Linked DNA regions of Stegostoma tigrinum. The protein of the gene in region 2 purifies or fractionates together with the protein of the main gene of each other region. This does not show direct contact. Links are inferred from orthologs where the notes say so. Each region holds a gene or a part of one and is shown on either strand. Other genes may lie near its edges. The genes, in order: pak1, rhoub and nck2b.

Evidence for each region.
Region 1: the proteins of rhoub (region 2) and pak1 purify together in Homo sapiens (co-immunoprecipitation; 5 studies listed by BioGRID and IntAct, with this or other methods). This does not show direct contact. The link is inferred for Stegostoma tigrinum from reciprocal best matches to the Homo sapiens genes RHOU and PAK1.
Region 3: the proteins of rhoub (region 2) and nck2b purify together in Homo sapiens (co-immunoprecipitation; 3 studies listed by BioGRID and IntAct, with this or other methods). This does not show direct contact. The link is inferred for Stegostoma tigrinum from reciprocal best matches to the Homo sapiens genes RHOU and NCK2.

What each region holds. Positions count from the first base shown.
Region 1 is NC_081359.1:105,733,863-105,743,582, forward strand, and holds the start of pak1 (serine/threonine-protein kinase PAK 1), read left to right. Parts: upstream 1-5,607; 5' UTR 5,608-5,815; exon of another isoform or gene 5,816-5,942; intron 5,943-9,720. UniProt on the Homo sapiens protein: Protein kinase involved in intracellular signaling pathways downstream of integrins and receptor-type kinases that plays an important role in cytoskeleton dynamics, in cell adhesion, migration, proliferation, apoptosis, mitosis, and in vesicle-mediated transport processes.
Region 2 is NC_081392.1:10,789,848-10,800,317, forward strand, and holds the start of rhoub (ras homolog family member Ub), read left to right. Parts: upstream 1-5,684; 5' UTR 5,685-6,256; coding exon 6,257-6,476; intron 6,477-10,470. UniProt on the Homo sapiens protein: Binds to and activates protein kinase PAK1. Plays a role in the regulation of cell morphology, cytoskeletal organization and focal adhesion assembly during cell migration. Also stimulates quiescent cells to reenter the cell cycle.
Region 3 is NC_081359.1:64,797,960-64,808,203, forward strand, and holds the start of nck2b (cytoplasmic protein NCK2b), read left to right. Parts: upstream 1-6,206; 5' UTR 6,207-6,322; intron 6,323-10,244. UniProt on the Homo sapiens protein: Adapter protein which associates with tyrosine-phosphorylated growth factor receptors or their cellular substrates. Maintains low levels of EIF2S1 phosphorylation by promoting its dephosphorylation by PP1.

The DNA.
Region 1 (9,720 bases), on a different chromosome or scaffold from region 2:
TACTTACTGTCTATCTCCACCAATTCTTCCATTCCATAAGCACTCCTCCTCAACCCCTGTCTTCAGGATATATACCATTCTGCCACCACCACCCCCCCACCCCAAACTACTGCTAGTTCTAATGAAGGGTCGCTGGACCTAAAATGTTGACTCTCCTTTCTCTTCACTTATATTGCCAGACCTGCTGACTTTCTCCAGTATTTCTGTTTTTGTACCATGTTTATTCAGCTTGATCACATTAAGTTTTCTAAATGGCCCACTATAACCTATGACTTACTGTAGATCTGAGGAATTGTTTGTTGAAGAAAATAAAATTTGCAGGTATCTTATTTACATGCTTTTGCTGTTTAAATTTCCTCCTCCAGAAATACTCTTCTGGACACTTTTGCAAATCATTACGTCCTCTGGACATAGCTTCAGGATGACATCTTAGCGAAAAGATGGCAAATCTGAAAATGCAGCAAAATGTCAGCCACAAATGCAGCCTGAATAGATATAATTTTTGCTGATTTAGAAATAGCACTATTGGAAAATACTTTGCAAATTTAGTGAAGACAGAGGTATGTTGCCAAAATTTTCATTTTGCAATTGTCAAGAAATATGCAAAAATGCCACGAAATTTGGCATTCTTCCTTTTTATTTGGGATGTAGTTGTTGCTGGCTGGACCAGCAGTTACTGTCTTTGAGAAGGTAGTGTGAGAGATGATTTATTGAACCATTGCTGTTCTTGAGGTGTAATGCTGATTGGCAGGGAGTTTCAGGATATTGACCCACTGACAGTGAAGGAATTGCAATATAGGTCCAAAGAAGGTTAGTGAGTGGTTAGAAGGGAACTAACATAGGAACAGGAATAGGCCATTCAGCCCCTTGAGCCTGCTCTGTCATTCAAAACGATCATGGCTGATCTGTGGTTTAACTCCATATGCCTGCCTTGGGCCCATTTCCCTTGATCTTCTTGCTTAATAAAAGTGTATTCATCTCAGATTTAAATCTCACAACTGAATTAGCACTGACCACCACTTGAGGAAGACGGTCCCGACCCTCTTTGCATACTTTCAAGCATTTCTCCTGAATGGTCTCAACAAATTCTTATTCTATGCCTCCCCGTTCTAGAATCCTTAATAGTGGAAATAGTTTTTCTTTGCTTACCTTGTTTTTCCCTGTTAATATCCTGAAAACCTCAATTAGATCACCCTTTAACCTTCTAAATTCTAGGGAATATGGGCTTAATTTGTCTAATCTGTTTTAAAAGTTAACTCTTGAAATCCAGGTATCATATTTGGAAACCTACATTGACCAGGGACAAAACATCCTTCTGAAGGTGCGATGCCCAAAACTTCCCTCAGTGCTCTAAATGGAGTCTGACTCGAGTTGTATACAACTGCAGCATAACATCTGTGTCCTTATACTTCAGTCCTTTAGATATGAAGGCCAGCATTCCATTGGCCTTGTTGACCATTTTCTGTGCCTGTTCGTACATTTTATAGTGCTATGTATCTAAACCCCCAAATCCTGTTGGACTCTTTATTTAACCTCGTGCCTTTTAAAAAAAACCCTGATCTATCCTTTCTTGGTACAAATCAGTGGTAATATCATAGGTATCTGTTTATCGATGAGAGCAATGCAAAGCTTTGGTAATGCGTCTTTCTTTACAACGATCTTCAGGTTCTGAGCAACTGACCAATTGCAAAGTTAATAAAGTTGCCTCAGTTGTACAAGAGCTCAACCTGGTGCAGTAGTTGCCAAGACTAACATGTGAGGAGTTTGAAAATCCCTTAATGTAATCACCACTGGTTTCTATTGAACATTCTCCCTACGAGAAGTAATTAGGAAAGCGATTTACATGAAAGTTATTCGAACACTACATATTTTTACCTTTCCATCAGAAAGCACTTGGATTTTCTACAAAGTCTTTCAGAATATCATCCCAATATTCTTTGTTGGTAACAAGATATATTTGAAGGACTGTTTCCATTGTTTGTATTGTGGTATAAATAGCTGTCCTGAACCCAAATGCCGTATACACAAGTATCTCCTACAAACAGCATTGACATACAGCTCACATAGTTTGTCTCAGCATTGTTCGTTGAGTGCTGGATGGTGAGGATTAACTGCAACAGTAGTAAAATACAGGAAAACTGCTTCAAAAGACTGTGGGAGTGAGTTCTTGAATATTTTTGAGACAGAAGTAGATAGATTCTTGTTAAGCAAAAGGATATTTATCTGGGGTTGATGGGTATAGGGGACAATTACATCAGTAACAATTTTACTGAATGACAGAACAGGCTCAAGGCAAGATTGGCCCTTGCCTGCTCTTAACTTGTATGTTCATATACTGCAGATGCTAGAAGTTGAAAACGAAAACAAAAATGTTGGAAACACAGAAGGGCAGGCAGTATCAGTGGAACACGAAACAGAGTTGTACATCAGGTCAGTAACTACTGATCAAGAAGGCCTTCTAGGGTGAAATCCTCTGCTCGTCTGCAAAATAGAACGATGGTATCTGTCAGATCTACAAGAGAACAGACAGTGCATCAGTTTAATGTCTGAAAGATAACCCTTTCTGTATTGCCTGATGGCCAAAGTGTAAGCCCAAATATTTCATGTACAGAAGCAAGATCTGATGCCCATTCATGGAGGATGGTTTTATATATAGTCCAACCATGGCAAGAAACTGCATCTAGATTTTCTTTAAAGCAAGGTGAAACCGTTGCACTACAGCTACTACTTGGTTCTTGCTGACCAGGACACGCTCCTGCTTTTGCCCCTGCTGTAGGGGTCGACCAGGGCAGGCCAACACCATTCATGATCCCATTACCTCAGGGGACCTCCCACCCACAGCCTCCAACCTCATTGTTCCCCAACCCCGCACGGCCCGTTTCTATCTCCTTCCCAAAATCCACAAACCTGCCTGCCCTGGTCGACTCTTTGTCTCAGCCTGTTCCTGCCCCACCGAACTATTCTCCACCTATCTGGACTCCATTTTCTCCCCTTTGGCCCAGAAACTCCCTACCTACGTCCGTGACACCACCCACGCCCTCCACCTCCTCCAGAACTTCCAATTCCCTGGCCCCCAACACCTCATTTTCACCATGGACGTCCAGTCCCTATACACCTGTATTCCGCATGCAGATAGCCTCAAGGCCCTCCACTTCTTCCTGTCCCGCAGGCCCGACCAGCCCCCCTCCACTGACACCCTCATCCGCCTAGCCAAACTCGTCCTCACCCTCAACAACTTCTCATTCGATTCCTCCCACTTCCTACAGACAAAGGGGGTAGCAACTCATATTCCGCTTGGGAACCCTGCAGCCCAATGGTATCAATGTGGACTTCACCCACCGCATCCCAAAACCAGCCCAGCTCATCCCCTCCCCCCACTGCATCACAAAACCAGCCCAGCCTGTCTCTGCCTCCCTAACCTGTTCTTCCTCTCACCCATCCCTTCCTCCCACCTCAAGCCGCACCTCCATTTCCTACCTACTAACCTCATCCCACCTCCTTGACCTGTCTGTCTTCCCTGGACTGACCTATCCCCTCCCTACCTCCCCACCTACACTCTCCTCTCCACCTATCTTCTTTTCTCTCCATCTTCGGTCCGCCTCCCCCTCTCTCCCTATTTATTCCAGAACCCTCACCCCATCCCCCTCTCTGATGAAGGGTCTAGGCCCGAAACGTCAGCTTTTGTGCTGAGATGCTGCTTGGCCTGCTGTGTTCATCCCGCTTCACACTTTATTAACTACTGGCAAAGTTGCCTGGACCCACAACTAGTGGCAGCTGTCACTATGGCGATGGTGTAGTCCTGCCAACCATTGCTTTGTCTACTTGGCAATGATGTGGATGTGCTGGTGTTGGATTGGGGTGGGCGATACGATGGCTAAGTGGTTAGCACTGCTGCCTCACAGCACCATGGACCTGGGTTCAATTCCAGCCTTGGGCGACTGTCTGTGTGGAGTTTGTACATTCTCCCTGTGTCTGTGTCAATTTCCTCCAGGTGCACTGGTTCCCTCCCCAAGATGTGCAGGTTACGTGGATTGGCCTTACTAAATTGCCCATAGTGTTCAGAGATGTGTAATTTAAATGGATTAGCCATAGGAAATACAGGAATAGGTTATGAGGGTGAGTCTGGGTGGGATGCTCTTTGGAGAGTCAGTGTGGACTTGTTGGGCTGAATGGCCTGTTTCCACACTGTAGGGATTCTATGAATCTCAGTCAGATGAAGGAGCAGCCATCCAAAAACTTGTGATTTCAAATAAACCTGTTGGACTATAGCCTGGTGTCATGTGACTTCTGATTTTGTCTACATGGCAAGACTGCTGTCCTGCAAATCTTCCACCATGATAATGCAGGGTTATTGATCAAATGTCAACTCTGTTCCTAGACCTAGCGAATAATTCCATTACAAACTGTTCACATCAGATTTTCTTTTTTATTTACTTGTGCTGGGCCAGCATTTATTGTGCATCCCCAGTTTCCCATCACAGGGTGGTGATGAGCTGTCTGCTTGAACCACTGCACTTCATTTTCGTAGGTTGACCCATAATACTGTTAGGGAGAGAATCCCAGAATTTTGACTCAGTGATACTGAAGAAACAGCAATATGTTTCTGAATCAGGATGGCAAGTGGCTTAGAGGGGACCTGGTAGGTGGTGGTGTGACCATGTATCTGCTGCTCTCGTCCTTCACAATGGAACTGGTTGTGAGTTTTGAGGGAACTCTAGTGATTGGACCAGATGGACCTTGTTGACTATGAGTACCTTGACTGTGGTTCTTAAACTGGGCCAATCAGGAGCCACTAGCTGACCAATTTTAACGGGGGATTCAGAATCTCCTCAGGTCAGGGGGGCTGATTCTGAGCTGGCTGGCCACAGCCGACCGTGCACAGGTAAATTTGGGATAACAAAGTGTGGAGCTGGATGAACATGTGTTCCTAAGATGCTGCTTGGCCTGCTGTGTTCATCCAGCTCCACACTTTGTTATCCCGAATTTACCTGTGCACGGTCGGCTGTGGCCAGCCAGCTCAGAATCAGCCCCCCGATATCTCGGATTCTCCAGCATCTGCAGTTATCTCTGATACAGGTAAATTCGGGACGACTTGGTGATAGGACACTGGCCTCTGTGCAATTATTTCAGGAACAAAACTGAAATGTTCTGAAGAAGAGTCAGGGGAACTGAAATGTTCTGAAGAAGAGTCAGGGGACCTGAAAACTCTGCTTCTCTCCACAGTTGTTGCCAGATTTGTTGAGTTTTTGTCTTTGTTTCTGCTTTCCAATATCTGCAGTTCTTTGGTATGTTTGTGGGTTTTGAAAGTGCTGTTGCAGGATCTTTGGTGAATTTTCCTACAGATGGTTGCGAATGTCAGCACCTGCACCATTCTGCTATTAGCCTAAATTCTTGCAGAGAGGAATAGTTTCAAAACACACCCACTGCCCTGGCCCTTTAAGAAACTGCAATGATGTAATGCGCTGATCATGAAGCGAAGCCACTTCCGGTCCACTCGTCAATCAAACCTGCGTGACGAGGGGGCGGGGATGGTCTTTGATTGACGTGGGTTACAGCCAACTGAAGCCGGTGTTATGGGCGTGGGGACCAATAGGAAGTAGGAACACGTGGGGCGGACCTAGGCAGGTTAGGTTGAGCCGGCCGGCCTGACAACGAGAGGAGCGGCATCCAGCACCGGGCAGCGGGGAGTGAAGGATAGAAACAGAGCGTAAGAACAAACCAGCAGCGCCGCCGGGATCACAGCGACATCGCGAGAGACTACATTTGGAAGCGAACGAGGCCACTTACCCAGCTTCTCGTCAGCGGGCGGCGGGAGGTGAGGAACGTGTTTTTCGGCTCCCCTCCTCCTCCTTCACCCTAACTGACTTCGAACGGCAGATTCGAACCGTCCAACCAAGGGACGTTGGCGAACCGGCCCCGCCTCGCGCCTGCTGGCGACCGTCTCCGGGACAACCGCGCGCTCCCAGGGAGCCGTCGCCAGGGTAACGGCGGGCTCCTGGCAACCGTCACCGGGGCAACCGCGCGCGGCCTCCTCCACTGCTTTTCCCCCTTACCCGTTTCTTAGCGACCATCACTATGGAAACGGCGCGCGGGCCGCGAGTAGAATGTCGTGTGCTTCTGAAAACCCTTGCCATTCCGCCCAGTTCTCCCGTACTAGCCCTTGGGCGGAGTTGTCCAATTTGTCCTGATTTCCCTGCTGTTTCCACGCGGCCCTTTTAGCTAAGTCATTCGGGAATTTATTTTTCTGTTTTCGTTCTAATTTTAGGTAATAAATGCTTTCATCGTTTTCTTTTTGCCCAATTTTCCGTTGTCAAATGTGTCTCGTGTTCAGTGATCATTCTTACCACTGGAAGCACTTTCTCCTTATTGACTCAGTTTAAAAACTTTTTCATAATTTTGATTCCCTCTTTCATATCTCAGCCAGCCTCCTCTGCATAGCCGTGCAATCACAGATCCTCCAGTTACTTCGTAGAAGAAGATTCACTCACTCATTTGGTATCATTTCTAGCCCATTCTCTAGGACGAGAGTACCCTAGCCCTGTCCAACCTAACCTGTGGTTGATAAAAGATCTTGCATTATCTCCTTGATTGCATACTTTTCATCTAACAGCTTTGTTGTCTGTCCCAAATCCCGTTGAAGTGATACTGTTTACGTTTGTGGCATGTTGGAATAGATACAGCATAGAAGCAGGCTATTCGACCTGTTCTCACTCGCGTCCCTTTCCCAAAATAGCCTTGCAAATTATTCCTCTTCAGATACTAACCCATTACCTTTTGAAATACACAATTTCAATCTGCTTCTGCTGCACTCTTCGGTGGTGACTTTCACATCCTTCTATATTTTTCTGCTGATGTTACAATTAGTTTCTTGGTGTAATATTTTTGGACTAAATACTTGTGTTCAACTATATTGCTAGCTTCCATATTAAGGTCTGTTCCAGAGTGCTGATTGTGGTTTTTTGATTTGCTGAGACCTTTTTGTAGTTGGAAAGTAAAACTCCTCCTGATGTGACTGTTATTTATCAATGATACTCTGGTTCCAGACACGTTTCTGTGCTGTATACTATGATACCTCATCCATTTGTGTCTCCGACCTCTTTGACTTTGAATGTCATTAGTGGAGAGCATCTTCACAGTGCACTGTATTAAGAGCATTTTCAGGATAAAGCCCTACGTGAAATGTCTCATTGTTCAGACTCTTTTCCTGTCTTTTACCCATTCTTCTTTTCCTGATGAATGAAACTACAAAATAATGTCCCTTTTGTTACTTGTTTTACGCTCTTGAATGCTTCAGATGGAGGCATTGTTATGGCAAATATGCAAGTCCAGATTTTGCAGTTACTTAATTGTCTGCCACTTTGCATTATTGATGCAGTGGGGGACGGTGGGCTGGTGATTCCTTCCTAGTGTGACAGATAATGGAGCTGCTTCTTTATATGCCCTCCTGCCAAATCGCATTCATTTCAGCAAGGTTCACTTAGAGTCATGGAGATACACAGTAGGGAAACTGACCTTTCGGTCCAACTTGTCCATGCCAACCAGATATCCTGTGTAAATCTAGGAGATAGCAAGAACTGCAGATGCTGGAGTCGGAGACAACACCGTGTGGAGCTGGAGGAATGAAGCAGGTCAGGCAGCATCAGAGGAGCAGGAAAGTTGACATTTCAGGTCAAGACCCTTCAGATAATTTCTCCCTCTCCACTTTGTCCCTTTTAAATAATTTGCTGCTTTTGATTTGAGCACGGCCTGGATGAGTTTGGCACTGTTGTCATACACTACAAAAGGGAGCTAGTCACTTCTTTAAAAGGCTATCTGACTAGTCTCACTTCCCTGTTCAATTCCTGAAGCCTTGCACATTTTATCCTTGAAGTGTTTATCCAATTCAACTTTGAAAGTTGCCATTTTGTCTGCTTCCACTGTACAGACATTGCATGGACCACTGATTTTAATCTTTGTGATATTGCTCAATGTGGTCACTGTCTCACCTCCTCTGCTGAGGCCCTTAATGACTTTACATGCAAACCTACAGGTTAGGAGCAAGATTATACCACTCAGCACTGCATGTCTGCTCTGCCAGTCAACAATGACTACGCCACCTTCCTACCCCCAATAATATCTCACCCCTGTCCTTAGCAAGAACCTTATCCATGTCTGTCTTTAAAAGTTTCAAATGATCTGCTTCTACAGTTTTTAAATGAAGAGAGTTCCAAAAAACCTGTGACTCAGAAATATTTCTCTTTGGCTCTGACTTAAATGGGTGGCACGGTGGCACTGCTGGTTCACAGCGCCAGGAACCCGGGCTCGATTTCAATCTTGGGCGATTGTGCAAACTCCACACAGACATTCTCCTACTGTCTGCATGGGTTTCCTCCCACAGTGTAGACTAGGTGTTTGGCCTTACTAAATTGCCCATAGTGTACAAGGGTATGTGGGCTCACGGGGATACGGTAGGGGGCTGGGGTCTGGGTGTGGGTGGGATGCTCTTCAGAGAGCCAGTGTGGACTCAATAGGCCGAGTGGTCTGCTTCCACACAGAAGGGAGTTTATGATCCTGCTATGAAATGGTGACCCTGTATCTTTAAACAGTGTTTCCACACTGTAGAATTTCTATGACCCATTACATTTAGATTCTCCCATGAGGAAGCATCCTTTTCACAACATGCTGTAAAATCCCTTCTTTGTTACTTCTAGACACTTTTATTCCACACACTGCTAGCTGGTCTTCCACATTTTGGATATTTTCCAATCAACCTGGTCAGCAATGTTATTGAATAACTCAGGAGCAGGTGTGCCTTGAACCTGGGTCTTCTAGTCTGGAGCTAAGGAAACTACCTCAAAGCCATGTCTCTCCTATTCTGAGCCCTGAAAAACCTGCTTTCATGTGTTAACTTGCAGAAAGTCACATTCCCCTGTCAATCTTAAGTTCACTAAAATAGAAGCAAAATACTACGGCTGCGGGAAATCTGAAATAAATTCAGAAAGAAACTCAGCAGGTCTGGCAGTATCTGTGGAGAGAGAAACAGCTAAACATTTTAGTTTGAGTAATACTTTGCTTCACTTCTTTCTTAACTCTGGTTTTTCCCTGTCTGTTTCTCTGCAACATCCATCCAGAGATTCTGTGAGACCTGTCTTGTTTCTCCAGCATTTTTATTTTTATTTGCGTTCACTGACCTAAATTGACTCACCTCCATTCAAATTACATCCTGTTTTTAACATTTCTTCCTTGTTTTCAAATCCCTCTAGGGACTCCTCACATGTCCCTACCTCTGCAATCTCCTCCCGGTCCGTGAATGCTCAAGATTTCTGAACCTTTCCGATTCTGATATTGTGACGATCACTGTTTTTAACCTCTTTACATAGGTGGCTGCGTCATCAGATGCCTGGATCCTGACCTCTAGGGCTTCCTAAACCTCTTCCCACTTCAGACTTTGTCTTTCAGACACTACCAAAAGCAGAATTCTTTGACCATAATTTAGTCGCCTGACCTATTTCCTTATGATATCAATAATATTGTTTTATGCTCAAGTGAACCATCTCGGAATGTTTTATGATGTTAAGAGTGACATTTTTTAGAAAAAAAAAGTTGATATTGCTGGGAAGTGAATTCTAAGAATTGGTGACAGGATGAACAGCTTTAATCATTGGGGAGCAAAGAAGGTGAAGAGAAATTTTAAGAGAAGTCCATTGCCATGAAAGGTTTTGTTCTTAGTCGGAGAAATGC
Region 2 (10,470 bases):
ACTGGTTCAGTCTCAACTAGAGTATTGTGTCTAGTTCCATGTGATGTGAAGGTATTGGATCCCAGTGTAGAAGAGCCTTACAAAAGCAGTTTCCGAACTTTGGTTACATATGCACTTCGGAGAAGCTGGATCCAGGCAGCACCCCCCCCCCCCCCCACCGCCCCCCCCCCCCCACCCCAGGACAGAGTCAATGTTGAGACGAGATGCCAAATCTTCAGATATCAGGATGGAACAGTTAAGGAAAATCTTTTCATATTAGCTGATGATCCAAGACTGACAGAAAACACTGCTTTAAATCTGGGGCGAGAGGTGGGCAGGGAATTGTAAACAGAATCTTTTGACTTAGCAAGCGATAAGGACATCGAACTCAGAGATAGTAAGAGCTGCCGATGCTGGAGTCAGAGATAACCCAGTGCGGAGCTGGATGAGCACAGCAGGTCAGGCAGCATCAGAGGAGCAGGAAGACTGGCGTTTTGGGTCAAGACCCTTCTCCAGAATTCTCAGGGAAGGGCAGCAAAGGATGACACATGGTTTCAAAAGGAAATTGGGTGGGATCTGGAGGGAAATGGATTTTCAAGTCTACGGGGATGGACCTGGGAAATGGGAGTGTTCTGAGCTGAGTTAGCATGGGCTCGATGGGCTGAATGGGCTGCTTCCAGATGTTCTACAACAGATTATGGTTGTCACATCAATTTCAGCGACACAAATTGTTATCTCTGAAAATATCAGCCTTGAGAACATTGAAAAGTGGTAACGGTTATTGGTTTCTCCCATAGTTAAGGGGGCATTTAGCACGTTTGCCTTCATTGCTCAGACCTTTGAGTATAGAAGTTTGGACGTCATGTTAAGGTTGTGAGGGATGTTGCTGAGGCCTCTTCTGGAGCACTGTGTCCTGTTCTGATCACCCTGTTATAGGAAGGATATTGTTAAATTGAACAGGGTACAGAAGAAATTTACCAAGATGTTGCCTGAAATAGAGGATTTGAGATATAATGAATAGACTGGAGAGACTGGGTTTTTTCATTGGAGCGTAGGACATTGAGGAGTGACCTTCTCGAGGATTATAAAATCATGAACAGCATAAGTAAAGCGAAATACAAGGACCCTATCCTTAGGGGAGGGGTTTCAAGAATAGGGGCATATCTTTAAGGTGAGAGGAGGAAGGTTTTAAAAAAGGACATGAGGAATGGTTCGTGTGCGGAATGAACTGCCAGAGGAAGCAGTGAGTGTGGGTACAGGTACAATGTTTATAGGGCATCTGGATAAGTCTATAAGTAGGAAAGGTTTGCAGGGATACGGGCCAAGCACAGGCAGGTGGGACTAGTTTAGTTTGGGATTATGGTCGGCATGGAGGTTCTGTTCCCATGCTGTACAACTCTATGACTCTATAACTGATAACTTACCCAACTCGCAATAGCTGTGAGAAATTAATCAAAAGAGATCTACTGTGACCAATTATAAAGATATCAGCACGGGAAATGGTGAACTCAGTGAAGTACATCTGCCTGGAATTTCCTATTTCTGAATATCTGTAACACACAGGGATGGATATAAGTGACCTCATTCATGCCAGCTATGGTTTCATCCATGGAACAGTTCCTCATTGTCTTCTTATCAATCATTTTATTCATTGGTGGGATGTGGGTGTCTCTGGCTGGACCAGCATTTATTGGCCATCCTTGGTCATGCTTGAGAAGGTGGCGGTGAGCTGCCTTCTTGAACCCCTGTAGTCTGTATAGTGTAGGGGCACCCAGGATTTTGACCCAGCGAAACTGAAGGAATGGCGATATATTTCCACGTTACGATGGTGAGTGACTTTTTTTTAAAATGTAGAATGTCTACAGTGTGGAAACAGCTCCTTCGGCCCAACAAGTCCACACCGAACAAAAACAGAAGTTGCTGGAAAAGCTCAGCAGGTCTGGGAGCATCAGTGAAGGGAAAAAACAGAGTTAACGTTTCAGGTCCAGTGACCCTTCCTCAGAACTCCACACACCTACCCTTGGACCATCCCACCCAGACCCATCCCCCTATAACGCACCTAACCTGCACAACTGTGGTACCACAGGCAATTTAGCACAGCCAGTCCACCCTGACCTACACATCTTTGGGGAGCACCCAGAGGAAACCCACACAGACACGGGGAGAATGTGCAAACTCCATACAGATTGTTGCCTGAGGGTGGACTCGAACCCAAGGAACCTGGCATTGTGAGGCTGTGGTGCTAACCACTGAGTCACTGTGCCACCCTACAAAACCAAAGTGGAGAATGGAGGCATTTGGAGGGGAACTTACAGGGGGTGGTGTTCCCATGTATCTGCTGCCCTTGTCCTTCTAGGTGGAAATGGTTGTGCGTTTGGAAGGGGCTGTCTGAGGATCTTTGGTGACCATTTGCCATACGTCTTGTAGATGGTACACACGGCTGTTACTGTGTGTGGAGGGGGTGGATGTTTGTGGATGTGTTGCCATTCAAGCAGGGGCTGCTTTGCCCTGGATGGTGTTCAGCTTCTTGAATGTTGTTGGAGCTGTCCCCATCCAGGGCAAGTGGGGAGTATTCCCTCACACTCCTGACTTGTGCCTTGTAGATGGTGGACAGGCTTTGGGGAGTCAGGAAGTGAGTTACTCACCACAGGATTCCTGGCTTCTGGCCTGCTCTTGTAGCCACTGAGTTAATGTGGTGAGTCCAGTTGAGTTTCTGGTCAATAGCATCCCTCGGATGTTGATGATGGGATATTCAGGAATGGTAATGCCATTGAGTGTCAAGGGGTAATGGTTGGCATTCTATTTTTATTCATTCACGGGATGAGGGCATCGCTGGCTAGGGCAGCATTTGTTACCCATCCCTAATTGCCCAGAGGGCAGTTAAGAGTCATTGCTGTGGGTCTGGAGTCACATGTAGACCAGAACAAGTAAGGATGGCAGTTTCCCACCCTAAAGGGCATTAGTGAACCAGATGGGTTTTTCCCGACAATCAACAATGGATTCATGGTCATCATTAGATTTTTAATTCCTGGTATTTATTGAATTCAAATTCCACCATCTTCCATGACAGTATTTGAACCCATGTCCCCAGAACATCATCTGAGTCTCTGGATTAACAGTCCAGCGACAATACCACTCGGCCATTGCCTCCCCTCACCTGCCTCCCCTTACCTTCCTCCCCTGGATTCTCCCTTGCTGGAAATAGTCATAGCCTGGCATTTATGTGGCACTTACTTAAATGTCACTTGTCACTTGTCAGCCCAAGCCTGGATTTTGTCCAGATCTTGTTGCATTTGAGCACGGACTGCTTCAGTACCTGAGGAGTTACAAATAGTGCTGAATATTGTGCATTCATCTGCAAACATCCCCATTTCTGACCTTATGATGGAGGGAAGGCTATAGATGAAGCAGCTGAAGCTGGTTGGGCCTAGGACACTACCCTGAGGGATTCCAGCAGAGATGGCCTGGAGCTGAGATGACTGACCTCCTGTAACCAGCTCCCTTTGCGCCAAGTGTGACCCAAACAGTTGAGAGTTTTCCCACCTCATTGTGCCTTGTAGATGGTGGACAGGCTATCTACATTGGCACCAGTTTTTCTCCAGCTCCTTGATGCCACACTTGGTCGAATGCAGCCTTGGTTTCAAGGGCTGTCACTCTCACCTCACCTCTGGAATTCAGCTGTTTTGCCCCTGTTTGAACCAAGGTTGTAATGAGGTCAGGAGCAGAGTGGCCCTGGCGGAACCCACACTGGGCATCACTGAGCAGGATATTGCTGAGCAGGTGCTGCTTGATAGTACTGTTACTGACACCTTCCATCACTTTATTTATGATCAACAGAAGACTGATGGGGTAGTAATTGGCTGGGTTGGATTTTGTGTACTGAACATACGTGGGTAATTTTCCACATTGTCGGGTAGATATCAGTGTTGTAACTGTACTGGAACAGCTTGGCTAGGGGAGCGGCAACTTCCGGGGCACAAGTCTTCAGTACTATTGAGGAATGTTGTCAGGGCCTGTAGCCTTTGCAGTATCCAGTGTCTTCAACTGTTTCTTGATATCACATGGAGTGAATGGAATTGGCTGAAGACTGGTAACTGTAATGCTGGAGACCACTGTGGGAGGCTGAGATGGATCATCCACTCAGCACTTCCGGCTGAAGGTTGCTGCGAATGCTTCAGCCTTATCTTTTGCACTGATGTGCTGGGCTCTTCCATCATGGAGGATGATGTGGGAAATGGTAACGTGAGATTGAAGAGCAAACTGAGAGAATCAGCCAACACCACAGGGTGGATTATAGAAAATAATTTCCATATAATTTGATACTGTATTTGTAGATACAATACAAATACAATATTTGTATTAGTCCTAAACTCTGGGTGATCACCAAAATCATTTTGACGGGAAAAAAAATCACTTTAAAAAGTTTTAGCAGAACTTTTCTGTTTCTTGATTTCCATTCATATATCAGTGGAATATGTGGATTGGAATCATTGCTACCGTTCTGAGGAGGAATCAGAGACTAGAATCTAATATAAATCAATGAATTTGAAAGGTAAACAAATGAGTGAGAGAGAAGGTAAATGAGAGAGAGAAGGGGGGATAATTAATGAATCAGAAAGAGAGCAGGTTGAAGAGCACAAGAGAGCAGGTTCAGGACTGAGAGTGCTGGTTAACAGAACAGAAAGCATAGATTAAAGAGATAGAAAGAGAAGGTTAGAGGGTGGGAGAGAGATAGGATAAAGACTGAGAATACAGGTTACAAAGTGCAACAGAGAGCAGGTTAAAGAATGAGGGAGAGCTGATTAATGAAGCAGAAAGTGGAGATTAATGAGGTAGAAAGTGCAGGTTAGAGAGCAAGAGAGCTAGCAGAATAAAGACTGAGAGAGCAAGCTATAGACTGAGAGAGAGGGTTAAAGACTGAGAGAGCAAGCTATAGACTGAGAGAGAGGGTTAAAGACTGAGAGAGAGGGTTAAAGACTGAGAGAGCAAGCTATAGACTGAGAGAGGGTTAAAGATTGAGAGAGAGGGTTAAAGATTGAGAGAGGGTTAAAGACTGAGAGAGCAAGCTATAGACTGAGAGAGGGTTAAAGATTGAGAGAGAGGGTTAAAGATTGAGAGAGGGTTAAAGACTGAGAGAGCAAGCTATAGACTGAGAGAGGGTTAAAGATTGAGAGAGAGGGTTAAAGATTGAGAGAGGGTTAAAGACTGAGAGAGCAAGCTATAGACTGAGAGAGGGTTAAAGACTGAGAGAGCAAGCTATAGACTGAGGGTTAAAGACTGAGAGAGCAAGCTATAGACTGAGAGAGAGGGTTAAAGACTGAGAGAGCAAGCTATAGACTGAGAGAGGGTTAAAGACTGAGAGAGCAAGCTATAGACTGAGAGAGGGTTAAAGACTGAGAGAGCAAGCTATAGACTGAGAGAGAGGGTTAAAGACTGAGAGAGCAAGCTATAGACTGAGAGAGGGTTAAAGACTGAGAGAGGGTTAAAGACTGAGAGAGAGGGTTAAAGATTGAGAGAGGGTTAAAGACTGAGAGAGAAGGTTAAAGATTGGGAGGGGATTAAAGAGTCAGAATGAACAGATAATTGGATGAAAGAACAGGTCAGAGAAGGAGAGAGGTTAATGAGTGAGAGACCAGGTTAATGATTGAGAGAACTGGTTCATGAGTGAGAGTCAGCAAGTTATTGAGCAAGAACAGTCTATTGTACAGCCCCATTTCGATTCGGGGTGCAGAATGGGTGGTGTAGTAATGTTGGCAATTTTTTTTTTAAATGTCACTTTTCCCCTCAACCCTACACCTTCCTCTTCAGCGTTTCACCTGTGATGCTGAGCTGTCCCTTTAAGGGGTGGAAGCTGTGTGGGAGGTGCAAATGTTGCTGAGTTCTGTATCTACCCGTTTCAAGGGAGGCGGTGACTACCGGGTGAGAGGTTTATAAAACGAACAGTGCGGGGAGAGAGAGAGAGAGTGTTTGAAGTGTGTGGTTTAGAGGCGGAAAGAAATTAGGCTGTTGTGGGGCCGATTTGATTACTGATCGCTCCCCCCCACCCCGTGTCAGTTTCAGTGAAACTGATAGGACGCGGAAAAGTTTTGCCCAAACTTTTCAAAAATTATTTTTCGTTTTTTCTTCCCCTTCAAATGATTTTGGTGGTCCTCCAGAATTTGGAACTAACTTCCTAGGTGTTTTTTTTTGCCCGGTCTTGTGGGGGATTTTTGTTTTCTTTTGAATTTTGAAAAGAAAGGAAGTGAAACATCTCTCTCTCTCGGTGTGAGAGACGGCGATGCCCCCCCAGGACTTACTGGACTATCGCGCGGGCTTCGCACCCCCGGTGCCCCCGCACAAACCCAAGCGCAGCGGCCGGGCTGCCCGCACCCAGGAGCGGTTCCTCAAGTGCGTTTTGCTCGGAGATGGAGCGGTTGGCAAAACTAGTTTGGTGGTCAGCTACACCACCAATGGTTATCCAACAAAATATGTACCCACTGCCTTTGACGATTTCTCCGGTAAGCTATAACTAATCACTTCAGAGCGTTTTTAAACACGAGAAACTTTTGTATATTTAGTCCTTCAAGAACATATCTATGGGCTGAAGGGTCGCTTCTCTAATGTGTGATATTATGTATATGCATTTATGTATCATCATTATGCATATTCATGTGTGCACACGTTTCCTGTATATGCTATACTAAAAGTTTTTAATTATAATTTTAAATGAACTCGAGTTTTATTTTTCAGTCAATTGCAGATTGCCATTCCATTCCAAACATGCACCAAAAGACTACGAGCTGATTAAGATTTTGTTAGCATGGTTACAGGGTTGTCTATGGGACGACAAGTGTGTGTGAGAGAGAGAGTTAGCGTTAGCCCTGGGGGAGCAGGCTTGCACTGGGTTCCAGTGTTGTATGTTTTCACTGTTTCGAGTTGTACCGCTAACGCTGAGGACTGCATTTGGGGGTCTCAGCGTTGTTGGTGGGACGTGGAAAACTTTCAGATGGGAGGGCTGAGTGTGACCCTTGGATAATTGTAGGTAAAGTGAACTTGTGCACTGTCCCCCATCAAGCACTCCTAGGGCAGGGACAGCACAGGGTTCGATACAGAGAAAAACTGATAGTTTTTGTACAAAATCTACCCAATTTGCTATTTCACCCCTTGGATTCGAGGCATTGTAGTACAGGAAGAGGCCATTCAGCCCATTGAGTCCATATCCACTCCCTCCCATCAGCCCCATTTCCCCCTCCCCCTCTAATCACTCTGTCTCTTCACTCCCATGGAGAGTGTTTGTTAGTTTTATCTGGTGTTGCACAAAGACCTGTGTGGCCCTGTAAACGGAGCTACTAACCTTGATCATTTTTAATGACCTGGTTGTTATCGATACTGCATTTAGAAAGATCCCATAAAGGAGGGAAAAGGGCAAGTGGGAGAAACATGGGAGAGAGAGAGAGGGAGGGAGGGGTGGGGGCTGAGAATGATCAGGAGGTAGAGTTGAGATCATGTTACATCAGCTTATTAAGAGTCTAGTTTGAAGGACTGTTGGCTGATAGTAAAACTGAGAGAACTGTACTGTTAAGTGTCGGAAGAAAGCAGTGCAGGGAGCAGGGAGAAGGTGGAAGAGAATTTATTTCACTTCAGATCAAAAGTCAATTTGCAATGTATTATTTGAGAAGGAAGCAGCTATTGGAACAGAAGAATTGGATAAATACTCAAAAGGATTTGGGGGGAGGGGGGAAGCATAGAGGGTGAGGAATGATCTGGAGAGCTTTCAGTGAGCTAGCAGGCATGATGGGGCTGAATGGCCTCCATCTGCACTGTTAGATTTTCAGTGAATGCCAAGACCACAAGACAGGAGCAGAATTTGGCCATTCAGCCCGTTGGGTCTGCTCTGCTGTAATTGAATGGTTGGTAGGTTTCCTGACCCTCATTCCACACAAGATTTCCTCTGAATGCACAGGTGTCTAATTCTGATCTGGAAAATGGGAATACCAATGGAGACAGGGAGAGGGAGGAGGAGAGTGTGTATTGAGGTGGGGGAGGGGGGTGGTTTCCTTAATTCACTTTATGGGATGTGGGTGGCCACTGGCTAGGTCAGGATTTACTGCACATCCTTAACGGCTCTGAGGAAAAGGGTCCTTGGAGTGAAGGGAGTTTTGGTGAATACAGTTGTGCCGTTTGTCTCCAAGATCAAACAGTGCAGAATGAGGAATTGGGTCGAGAAAGAACAATGTGACAAACAGAGATAATGGGAACTGCAGATGCTGGCGAATCCAAGATAATAAAGTGTGAAGCTGGATGAACACAGCAGGCCAAGCAGCATCTTAGGAGCACAAAAGCTGACGTCTCGGGCCGAGATGAAGGGTCTAGGCCCGAAACGTCAGCTTTTGTGCTCCTGAGATGCTACTTGGCCTGCTGTGTTCATCCAGCTTCACACTTTATTAATGTGACAAACATCAGGTTTTTGCGACCCTGGTTTAGGGGATAAGTGTTGGGACAAAGCCCCTGCTTTTTCTTTGGAAAAGCTCCGCAGGCTCAATTCCTTTCTCCTGAGCATGCAGCATTGCCTCCAAAAGCCAGTACCTCAGACAGTGTGGCACTCCCTCGATATCGCCTTGCATGTCAGCCTAAATTTTGGTTTCTAAACCCTGAAGTGGGACCCGAGCTTCAAGCCCTGCTATTCAGACACTCGACAGTTCCAGGGAATTCATCAGCTGCATGAGGCAAGACATTCAGGAGAGGGGAAAGACAGCGTATTTAAACAGACAGATTTTTCCTGTGTACAAGCCTGGGCTCCCTGGAGGTGAGGGAGGGGAATGTCTATTATCTGAATGATGCCTCACCTTCCCCAGCACTTGTCCCTTTCTGTTAATATCTATTGTTTGTGCACTTCATGTCCAGCAATTTGACAATGGAAAAACGCCTGAACGTATCTCTTTGTTTGAATCCTGTTTTTGTTTCCACTAAAATAGATACTTTTCTGAAAGTATCTAACCTCTGGAGTGTAATCGCTGACCTTGCATCCTGTCTCGATGCCAACATTGTTTTAGAGAGACAAGACAGCATTTCAATGTCTGTCGTGGGTTTTTTGTTTTTTGTTTGCTACATGATATCAGTGCTCACTCCTGGAGTCCTCCACAGGGTTACAACTGTATACAGCCTTCTGACCTCGTCTAAACTGTACTAAATTTCATTCCAGTGACAGACCTGTACCCATCAGTACTGTACCCCAGTGTTATACAGTGACAGACCTGTCCCCACTGGTACTGTACCCCAGTGTTATACAGTGACAGGCCTGTCCCCCACCGGTACTGTACCCCAGTGTTATACAGTGACAGACCTGTCCCCCACCGGTAGTGTACCCCAGTGTTATACAGTGACAGGCCTGTCCCCCACCGGTACTGTAACCCAGTGTTATACAGTGACAGGCCTGTCCCCCACCGGTACTGTAACCCAGTGTTATACAGTGACAGACCTGTCCCCCACCGGTACTGTACCCCAGTGTTATACAGTGACAGACCTGTCCCCCACCGGTACTGTACCCCAGTGTTACACAGTGACAGACCTGTCCCCCACCGGTACTGTACCCCAGTGTTACACAGTGACAGACCTGTCCCCCACCGGTACTGTACCCCAGTGTTACACAGTGACAGACCTGTCCCCCACCGGTACTGTACCCCAGTGTTACACAGTGACAGACCTGTCCCCCACCGGTACTGTACCCCAGTGTTACACAGTGACAGACCTGTCCCCCACCGGTACTGTACCCCAGTGTTATACAGGGACAGACCTGTCCCCCACCGGTACTGTACCCCAGTGTTACACAGTGACAGACCTGTCCCCCACCGGTACTGTACCCCAGTGTTACACAGTGACAGACCTGTCCCCCACCGGTACTGTACCCCAGTGTTACACAGTGACAGACCTGTACCCCAGTGTTACACAGTGACAGACCTGTCCCCCACCGGTACTGTACCCCAGTGTTACACAGTGACAGACCTGTCCCCCACCGGTACTGTACCCCAGTGTTACACAGTGACAGACCTGTCCCCCACCGGTACTGTACCCCAGTGTTATACAGTGACAGACCTGTCCCCCACCGGTACTGTACCCCACTGCAATACAGTGACCCCCAAATTAATGAGCCCAGCAGTTTGTGTCCTGTAGGGGAATGGCTCCAGACTGAGTAGCCAGCTCCCAGTGAAGCTGTGAGGTGGCCTTCATCGGTCACCTGTCGTGTGAATGGCGATTCTGAAATTTATTAATCCCTGAGGTCCCTGCAATTCGGTGCTTGGAATCTGAATAAAGTTACAGACAGTTCATTCTGGCAGAGTTACTAAAGTGGGATGTTCCTGCTCTTTCTATGGATTGTACAGTCTTCCCATGGGCACAGTCCCTGGAACAGAATGTACTACACAGGGAAACATGCATTAGTGATATAAAATGCTGGGGGGCAGTGCCTTTGTATCCTTTCCCCCTGAACAACAACTTGTATTTGTTTTGCCTTTT
Region 3 (10,244 bases), on a different chromosome or scaffold from region 2:
AACCAACATTCACTGGGACATTGAAACTTACTGTACAGCTGATTGTTTCATAAAAAGGGGTGTGCTCAGTCTACCCTGCAATACTGTTGTATATTTCTAGAAGACTCTGCAAAAAACACGGAGCGGGATTGTGGCACAGAAAGATTCCAGCAGAGTTGAAATTCAACAATGATTGCTACTTCATGGAAGATCCAGGTAATTTATCGTTATATTAGGGGTCAAAGCAATTCTTTTTTTCGAGAGCTGTTATTGAGATTTTCTTGAAGGCTACTTTTTGAATTATGGGGTGAATATTTTGGTTTTCATTCTAACTAACCAAATTTCCCCAGATACTTGCCTTTAGATTAGAAAATACCGAATGTATTCCAACGTCACTGTGGAAATAAAGGTTCGTGGTGATTTTATGGCATGGGTAGAAGATTGGCTAATGAACTGGAAACAGAAAGCAAGCAAATGGTAATTTCTGGTCAGGAAGATGTAATGTGTGCCATAGGGATTAGTGCTGGGCCCTCAAAATTTTATCATTTTTATAAATGATTTGGATGAAGGGACGTTCACTGTCTGTTGATTAGGCTACTACTTGGAGAGGGAGGGTTGTTTTATATGGATAGGGTAGGCTTGAATCCATTGATGTTTGGAAAATACGGGTGACTTGATTCAAACATGTAAGAATTTGAGGGGTCTTGACAGAGTCCATGTGGAGTAGATGTTTCACCTTGTCGGAGAATCTAGAACTTGGGGTCTTTTTCTAAATTAAGGGGTTGCTGGTTTAAGATAGAGATTAACTTTTTCTGCCTTATGGAAGGTCATGAGTCTTTGGCAATCTTGTTCTTAAAAAGAATGTTGAAGAAGAGTCTTAAATATTTTTATGGTAGAGGTAGATAGGATGTTCTACTAGTCATGAAGAAAACTTTGCCAAATACCTTAACTACATAAGCCTATGTGTGGGACAAAATTTGCTAACATCAAAGCAGCAACAAAAGGTGAAGCATTGCATTGTGCATGATGACTACATAAGCAAAAGCTGAAAAACGTGATTGTAAATGTCTACAAATGAAATTATTCACATGTTACAAAGTCGTCACATTGCTTGAAATAAACTCACCATCGCAACTACGTCTGGTGCTGTGTTGATTTTAGATTTGCACACTAGCGAACACTGACTTGTCATTACTGATGATCACAGCAGATTCTAAATGTTGGAAATAGTTACATTTACTTCAATGAAGGCAATCATCCCAAAACTTAATGAGATTTTTGGTTTGTTTTAGTGGTCCTCAAATGGTGAGAAGTGACAATGGATCTCCATTTCACAGCAATGAGTTTGATAAATTTGTAAATTATGTGGACTTCACTCATCAAAAACCCTTGTTTCCAAGAGCTAATGGAGAGGTCAAGAAAATTCTGTGTACCTTTAAGAAAGTGACTTGATGAGAACAAGTTTTGGAAGCAGGAGACCTATCATTTTATTTGCAATTACTCGGCAAGCACAGCTCCTCAATTGACTATTTTGAAGTTAGCATTTTCAAATGTAAACAAAAAGTAATTTCAGTGGCTTGCCTGGCAATATAAATCACTTTACTATGTCACCAAAAATCTGACAGAACAAGAACCTTCCAAACTAATGGCTGAAATAGGTATAAAACAAATTACTTTAACCAAAAAAAATGTTCCCAAGGGAGAAATCCAATGTCTAATTATAGAATCCCTATACTATAGAAGCAAGCTATTTGGCTCATCAAGGCTACACTGATCCCTGAAGAGCATCCCACCCAGACCTGTCTGCCCACCCCATTCCCGTAACCATGCATTTACCATGGCTAACTCATGTAGGCTGCATATGCCTGGATACTATGGAGAATTTAGCATGGCCAATCCACCCAACCTGCATATTTTTGGACCATAGCAGGAAACTGGAGCACCTGGAGGAAACCCACGCTTACATAGGGAGAATGTTTCCTGACGATGGGATTGAACCTGGGTCCCTGGTACTGGGGGGCAGCTATATTAAACACTGAGCCACTGTGCTGCCTATATGGAAGAGTAATTTGACAATTTGGGATGGCAGTCTTTTTGACATATTGAACTGTGTACAAGTGAGCACCCATTGCATTGAGATCTCAACAGAATCTTCTGAAGACAAAAATGGAGACATAGGGTGGTATCCAGGATTGTTATACTAAATCAGATTGTCAAGAGTCTGAATCTGCAGGACAACAAAAGTGAAACAAAGCAGTCTGTGCTCACTGCCAGGATCTGTTCTATTCCGTTCTTCACAGATGCTGAAACTGACTCCAAGTTTTCAACCTGTTTAGAGAACACCTTGCAAGCCATGCCTGCAGCGATAAGAGAAACAAACCTTATTTTCATATTCAGACATAATTTTTACCCTTACTAACCTTGAGTCTTTGCATCAGTGTATTAGCCAATAACTTTTTTTTATCACATTTTAACAAAATAACTTTCGTTGAACAAATCACCTTTTATCTTGTTTAAACCATGCTGCTGGTTATTTTTCAATTGAGAAATCCAGAAACCGAGCACTCTGAAGACTGGCCTGCCATATGTGAATACAATCAAGAACCAAAGGATTAAATATAAATAAGTACAGCGTGATCCATACAATTCAGACCATGTAAACCAGGAGATAAAGTGCTGGTGAAATGTGATGGCCAATTTAGAAAGCACAAAGCTCTTTATGACATGCAGACATTTTCTTGTGGCCAATATAAAAAGATCAATGATCACTGATAAGCCTGTTTTGCAAATCATCCCATGAAATGTGTCATATTTCAAAGTACTGAAAACACTATTTGCAAATGTTGATTCTGACTTAGGTATTGACAACTCAGATAAAAAAGCATGAGTTAGGCCATAAGACATAGGAGTGGAAGTAAGGCCATTCAGCCCATCAAGTCCACTCCGCCATTTAAATCATGGCTGATGGGCATTTCAATTCCACTTCCCTGCACTCTCCCCGTAGCCGTTGATTCCTTGTGAGATCAAGAATTTGTCGATCTCTGCCTTGAATGCATCTAACGTCTCAGCCTCCACTGCACTCTGTGGCAATGAATTCCACAAGCCCACCACTCTCTGGCTGAAGAAATGTTGTCTCATTTCAGTTTTAATTTTACCCCCTCTAATTTTAAGGCTGTGCCCACGGGTCTTAATCTTCCCGCCTAATGGAAACAACTTCCCAGCGTCCACCCCTTCTAAGCCATACATTATCTTCTAAGTTTCTATTAGATCTCCCATCAACCTTCTAAACTCTAATGAGTACAATCCCAGGATCCTTAGCCATTCGTCATACGTTAAACCTACCATTCCAGGGATCATCTGCGTGAATCTCCGCTGGACACGCTCCAGGGCCAGTATGTCCTTCCTGAGGTGTGGGGCCAAAAATTGGACACAGTATTCTAAATGGAGCCTAACTAGAGCTTTATAAAGTTTCAGAAGCACATCGCTGCTTTTATATTCCAACCCTCTTGAGATAAACAACAACATTACATTCGCTTCCTTAATCACGGACTCTACCTGCAAGTTAACTTTTAGAGAATCCTGGACTAGCACTTCCAGATCCCTTTGTACTTCTTCTAAACGAAACCACATCTAACTTTAGACGATATTCTAATTTTGATAAAAAGACGTAATTAAGTGGTAAGTTACAAAGTGATCAGAGATAATGGGAACTGCAGATGCTGGAGAATCCGAGATAACAAAGTGTGAAGCTGGATGAACACAGCAGGCCAAGCAGCATCACAGGAGCACAAAAGCTGACATTTCGGGCCTAGACCCTTCATCAGAGAGGGGGATGGGGAGAGGGTTCTGAAATATATAGGGAGAGAGGGGGAGGCCGACGGAAGATGGATAGAGGAGAAGATAGGTGGAGAGGAGAGTATAGGTGGGGAGGTAGGGAGGGGATAGGTCAGTCCGGGGAGGCCGGACAGGTCAAGGAGGCGGGATGAGGTTACTAGGTAGGAAATGGGGGTGCGGCTTGAGGTGGGAGGAGGGGATAGGTGAGAGGAAGAACAGGTTAGGGAGGCGGGGACAAGCTGGGCTGGTTTAGGGATGCAGTGGGGGGATGGGACGAGCTGGGCTGGTTTTGGGATGCAGTGGGGGAAGGGGAGATTTTGAAGCTTGTGAAGTCCACATTGATACCATTGGGCCGCAGGGTTCCCAAGCGGAATATGAGTTGCTGTTCCTGCAACCTTCGGATGGCATCATTATGGCACTGCAGGAGGCCCATGATGGACATGTCGTCCAAGGAACGGGAGGGGGAGTTAAAATGGTTCGCGACTGGGAGGTGCAGTTGTTTATTGCGAACCGAGCGGAGGTATTCTGCAAAGCAGTCCCCAAGCCTCCGCTTGGTTTCCCCAATGTACAGGAAGCCACAACGGGAACTATTTTAAGTTGGTGAACAAATCTTTAATCTCATTGCATATGACTAGCAGCATTGCTACATTAACAGAAAAGTTAAAACATGTCATAGATGTTACTCCGAGTTGAAAGTTCACATTGTGCTCAGGTTATTGTTTGATGTCCTGTAAACAAACCATTCAAAACATAAAACAATTCTCATTTACCAAGAGACGCAGGGTTGTAGTGTATTAAAAATTACATTATGCATTTTGTCCACTCAAGGTAACAGCTCATGTCCCAAAAAAACTGAATCTAGAAGAATAAGGAAATCCTGCACATACAACAGTTCTGCTTCTCATTGAACATTATTATTTCTTTCCATGAACTTTACGTGTTATGTTATTACATTGATAATAAAAAATTAGCAAGCAAATTGTTATGGGCATGTATATCCAGAATGCCACATCATTCGTTACTGTACTACAGTCAGGTATTAAGCAACAATTGAACACCTTGCAGCACAAAATACATTTTAAAAAAAGCTCCAGCGTGCTGTGTGTAAAAGTGTGATTATTTCAAACTTTTGTTGATTACATTGTGTATCATGGCAATGAAAATGATCTTGCTTGACAATGAATTGAAGATAGCAATGTTCATAGCAGAGTAATACAATTGAATATTGGGGTGTGTTAAAAACTCAATATAGAAGCAAATTATTCAGGCGTTCTGCCTTTTAGATTGAGTAAAAAAATTAAAACTGAAATTTCTGAAATTTCTTAGGCAAATACATTAAGAATTATGAAAAATTGCAGGTCGAAGGAGTCAAGATGAAACTTGGCCATGAGCAAACTGCATGGTGGAACAGACTTATGGTGGCAAATTGGTCCAATCCTGCTTCTATGTTCCCAGTACCAAAACAGGCAACTCACTTAACCACTGAACAATTGGCAAAAGGTCTGAACTTCTACATTAAATTGTTCACAAATTTCATTGGCACCAGAGCCAGTTCTACTATATCTAATATTCACATGAGTGGAGCTTTCCTACATTCTGAGTGTTAACAGCCAGGTTTCAGAATTTTTAAAAATGTTAAACCAATTGCTCTGCAGAACTTTAGGTGAAAGTCTAACTTTATTCAAATGAGACTTCTTTGAATCTCCTACAATATAAGGGAAACACAAACACCAAGTCCAATTCAGAATTACAAAATTATTACCATTCAGGAGGCCACTCAACCCATCGTGGCTGTTCCAGCTCTCTGACCATTTTGGATTACTGTCAAACTACTACATTTTCCTCTTTACCGTGCACTTTATATATAGTTAGATAATCATACTCTGGACCACGGCAGTTGAATCTGCCTCCGCCACAGTTTCAGCTAGTGATTTCCAAGACTTTGGTGAAAAAGTTTTCTTCCTCACCTCGGATTTGCATCTTTCGAAACAATAATTTAACTTTTATTAGTATGGGATACAATCAGAAGAACTCTGCAAGTGTCATGTGTGAATTCTGTCGAAGAAAATTGGGTGAAGTTTTAAAGAGGGGTCAGCATTGATCAGCAAATGGCGTTCCCCACACACAGACATCAGGAATGTATTGCAAGCCCAAGAAAAGGGAATACTCGCCGGTTCCCGAACATCTCCTCCCTTTTAGCTAGCGCTGGGCAAACGGACGGCATCGCGCATGCGCACCCTGCCCAGCGATGGAACGGGGGAAAGACGGTTCTGCTTCTGCGCACTCGGCCACGTCTGGCGTATTCCATTTGCTGTGATCCGGGGAGGAGAGTGGATCGGGATCGGGATCGGGATCGAGAGAGGAGGCAGAAGAAGAAGAAGAAGAGGAGGGGGCAAAGGAGAGAATCGAGGCTGCTCGGAGTCGTTGGCAGGAAAAGGAGATAGTGGAAAAAAGGACGGACGATATATACAGTCGTTGGAGAAGAGGAGCAGAGCGGGAGAGGCCGGAGGTGAGTGCTGGTGCTTGCGGGCTGCCGGCTCTGCCGCTGCGGTGGCGGCCTCGGTGTCAGGGCCCTGCCCCCGGTACACGATGGCGCATGGCCCGGGGTGTAATTGGTGGGGGGCAGCGACGGGCAACAACTGTCACTGGGCGAACTTGGAGGCTCCTCGCTTCCCAGTAACCATTCAGGTGCGGAGCAGAGCAGAAAGCAGCATCCTCAGGAAAAAAAAGACAAAAGCAACACACCACCTCCAAAAAGTACAACTTCCTTCACATGGACCATTTCCTTCTCTTTTTTCCTTCTTGACGAAGCAGAGCTTTAACATTACTTGTTGGGCTGTGATTTCCAATTTTTTGATGCATTAAACACTACCCGCTTTGTATTCCGGATTGATGGTTTGATAGCAAACGAGTTATGTCCATTTTTGAACCTCTTGGACCACATGCATGCTTTATTTTTCCTCTCTTTTTAATTTTAATTTCGTCTCCGCAATCCTTTATTTCTTACTGGTGAGATACAGTTAGTTTCACAAGTGCCTCTGTGAACTTTCCTGAGTTTGTGTTTGGATTTTAATAGTTGGCAAGATGTCACGTTGGTCAGTTATTTCCAATGTAGTTCAACACAGTGTTGATCCAGCATCTACACTCCAGCAGTTGCATTTCTATATCTCCCAAAGTGTCTCACAGGAACATAATAGACACTAAGCCCAGAAATAGATTTTATGGAGAGAATTAAAGCAGTAAAAAGCCATTGAGAGTTCTGTGGAGGGAATTTGAAAGTAGTATTTAGACAGTTGAGGTCATTACTATTGATAGTGGAATGAAGTCAATGGGAAAGTGCTTTAAGAGCCTGAAATTCTTAGAACATTGTAGAATTAGAAGAAGTTACTGAGATTGGGGAGGTAAATGATTGTGGAGTGATCTGAACATAAGAATCAGAATTTAAAATTCTGAAGTGATAGGCATTTAGAATTTAATGCAAGTATGGATATGCTCAATAGCTCAAGTTTATGATAAGAGGTAGAAAGTAGGCAGTATATGAGAATGTTGGAATGAATGATCAATGTGGGTAGTAATGTCATGGATAAGTATTTCGAACTGTCAGCTGAGACAGGAGTTACAGAGGTATGTGTAAGATGGCCTTCATGATGAAGAGGTTAAGTATGGTACCTGAGATCCCAACACTAGTCCAGCTTCAGATACTTGCTGAGGAGGGCTACGTTCAGCTGGTAATGAGGGAAGGGAGCTTATAGAGAGGTCCAAAGTAATGCCTTTGGTCTTCTCAGTGTTTAAAGGAGGAATTTGCATTTCAAGAAGTCGAGAGCAATGATTCCTAATTTGCCTTTCCCAGTATAGCTTGCAATGGAATTCATAAAGACTGGATCTTCAGCCCGTGCAGTTATGGTCTGTATAGCTGTTTGCTTAAATTCAAGCTTCTGTGGCCATTCCCTTTTTGTATTCTCAGCCAGTGAAACAACAAAATTAGTGGCTTTGTGTGCTTAATCTCAAGAGATGCATGAGATTTTGTAGAAATCTGACAGTTAAATGCTTTGCATGTAGGTGGTTCCTCAAACTAGCAATGAGATTGTGGTACATGTAAGTGAAAGATTTTGCATTTCAGGATGTGAAAACTCTTGCAATCTAGGAGTGCCGATAGCTTAGAAGTTTCTTTTCACTCATGGTCTATGGATGCTCCATGAGTTTAAGTGACTTCAGTATTTAATTTATGCAAAAATCATAAGTATTGAAGCAAAGCAGTTTTGTGGAGAGGTTTGCAATTTTGATCTCTATTAAAAGCATTATCAGATGTTCAGTCAAATAATATTTAAAACTATCAAAACTGCATTTTGAGATTATGAATTTGGATGGCATGTCACTGTTTTCTAGCTTAATTCTGTTTCATGAAGCCATTTGAGTGTTAACGATAAGCATATGGTTAAAATAACAACAATTCATATTGTTAATTCATAGTTTTAAAACTGGGAGCACCTAGAATAAAATCTTAAATTCCCTAAAATTGCTTTCTTTATCTTAATCTAATAGGGATTGTAACATACTATTTGCTGACCTAAAGGCTTATAGGCACATCATGAAATTGCATTATATTTCAGCTTGCATTGTCCCAGATTTACTGTAATAATGACATTGAAACTAACAACTTCTGGAGTGTGTTTGTGCAGTTAAATACAGGAATCTCACAATTGCTGCCAGTGACGCTATGCTTTCCTGTAGAACACATGTGACCCCAGATTGTAACAAGTAAAAATCACTGAATTAACAAAACTCATTTTCTTATGCTGCTAATTTCACTGTAAAATAGCCTTGAAAATTCTTTTTTGAATGAGGCATAACTGAGTTTTTAACAGTTTACTTAATAACTACTTCTGAGCATCTTATCCCTGGGGGAAAAAAAATGAATTCTGTATTGAGTGTCAAATTTCATCATTTTGCTTTTTTAAAAAATATATTGAATGTTTACAGTTGAGCTTCTATTTTAAACACACGTTTCTGGGCCAATCAATCATTTGACGTCTAAAATTTTATTTATAAGTGAAAGCATGTAATACATTTTACTGAGATAATGGGAACTGCAGATGCTGGAGAATTCCAAGATAATAAAATGTGAGGCTGGGTGAACACAGCAGGCCAAGCAGCATCTCAGGAGCACAAAAGCTGACGTTTCGGGCCTAGACCCTTCATCCATAGGATGAAGGGTCTAGGCCCGAAACGTCAGCTTTTGTGCTCCTGAGATGCTGCTTGGCCTGCTGTGTTCATCCAGCCTCACATTTTATTATCTTAGTACATTTTACTCACTAGTTTTGTGATCTGTGGGAATATTAGTGTGTTTGGTGGTTTACTCTGCTTGATGACATAATTGTTTTCGGACACCTACCAGTCCCCTTGGCTTGGCACCGGAATCAACTGATGTCTGGAAATGATAAATTCGTGCTACAGATTTTACTAGATCTTTGTTGGCAATTTTTATCAAAATCTGCAGTGAGCACAAATGCTTCTCAAATGATCATCAAAGTTACAACACTCAATCATTGTTATCTGCTGAGTTGTGACCCATGGATCTGCACACTCGAGAGGTCAGTCCCAGACCCCATCTTGTATTTTATCTCATTGTCTCGTCTGATGTACCTTGCTCAAACGGTTATGGTCTTTCCTGGTACATAGGAAAGGTGCCCACAGGATGTTTGTACCCATACATCTTGTAGAAAATGAAGATTGAATATACAGTCTCAATTCAGAGTATCAGAAGAGAGTGTATTAACTATTTGTAAGAATAAATATCTTTAATACAGAGTAAGACTATATTTGCCATTAACCATATCCTAATTGTTTGCCATGTGGTGGCCAGCAGTAATATAAATTAATAAAAATGACGTGCTCCATTATAGAAATTATGATGACAAAATGTCATTCATCTTCAAATTAGGAGTTTTGATTTAACTGCAACATTGCCTGAATTTTAAATGTCTGTAATCTCTGCATTGGCTCAAGATACTTTTGAGATTCCGTTCTTGGATTTTTAGCTTAAATTGAAATATCAAATACTTTATCAAGGTTTACCATGGCTTGACATACACTGTTACCTAAAGCTGAACTAGACTGAACTCCTGTTTTTTAGAAAAACACACAATGCCTCAATTATGACAATAAATAAGTTAAAGAATGCATGTTTTAGTTTCTGTCTGTTATTCTACATGTTCCAAGTGAAAGAAAATTGACTGAAAGCAAGTCTCGGAGATGCTGATGCTGGAGTCGTAGATGACAGTGTGGACCAGGAAGAGCACAGCGGGCCAGACAGATTCGGAGGAGTGGGAAAGTTGACGTTTTGGTTTGGGACACTTCTTCATAAATGGGGGAAAGGGAACGAAGCTCTGAAATAAATAGTGAAGAGGGGTGGGGCTGGGAAAGGTAGGTGG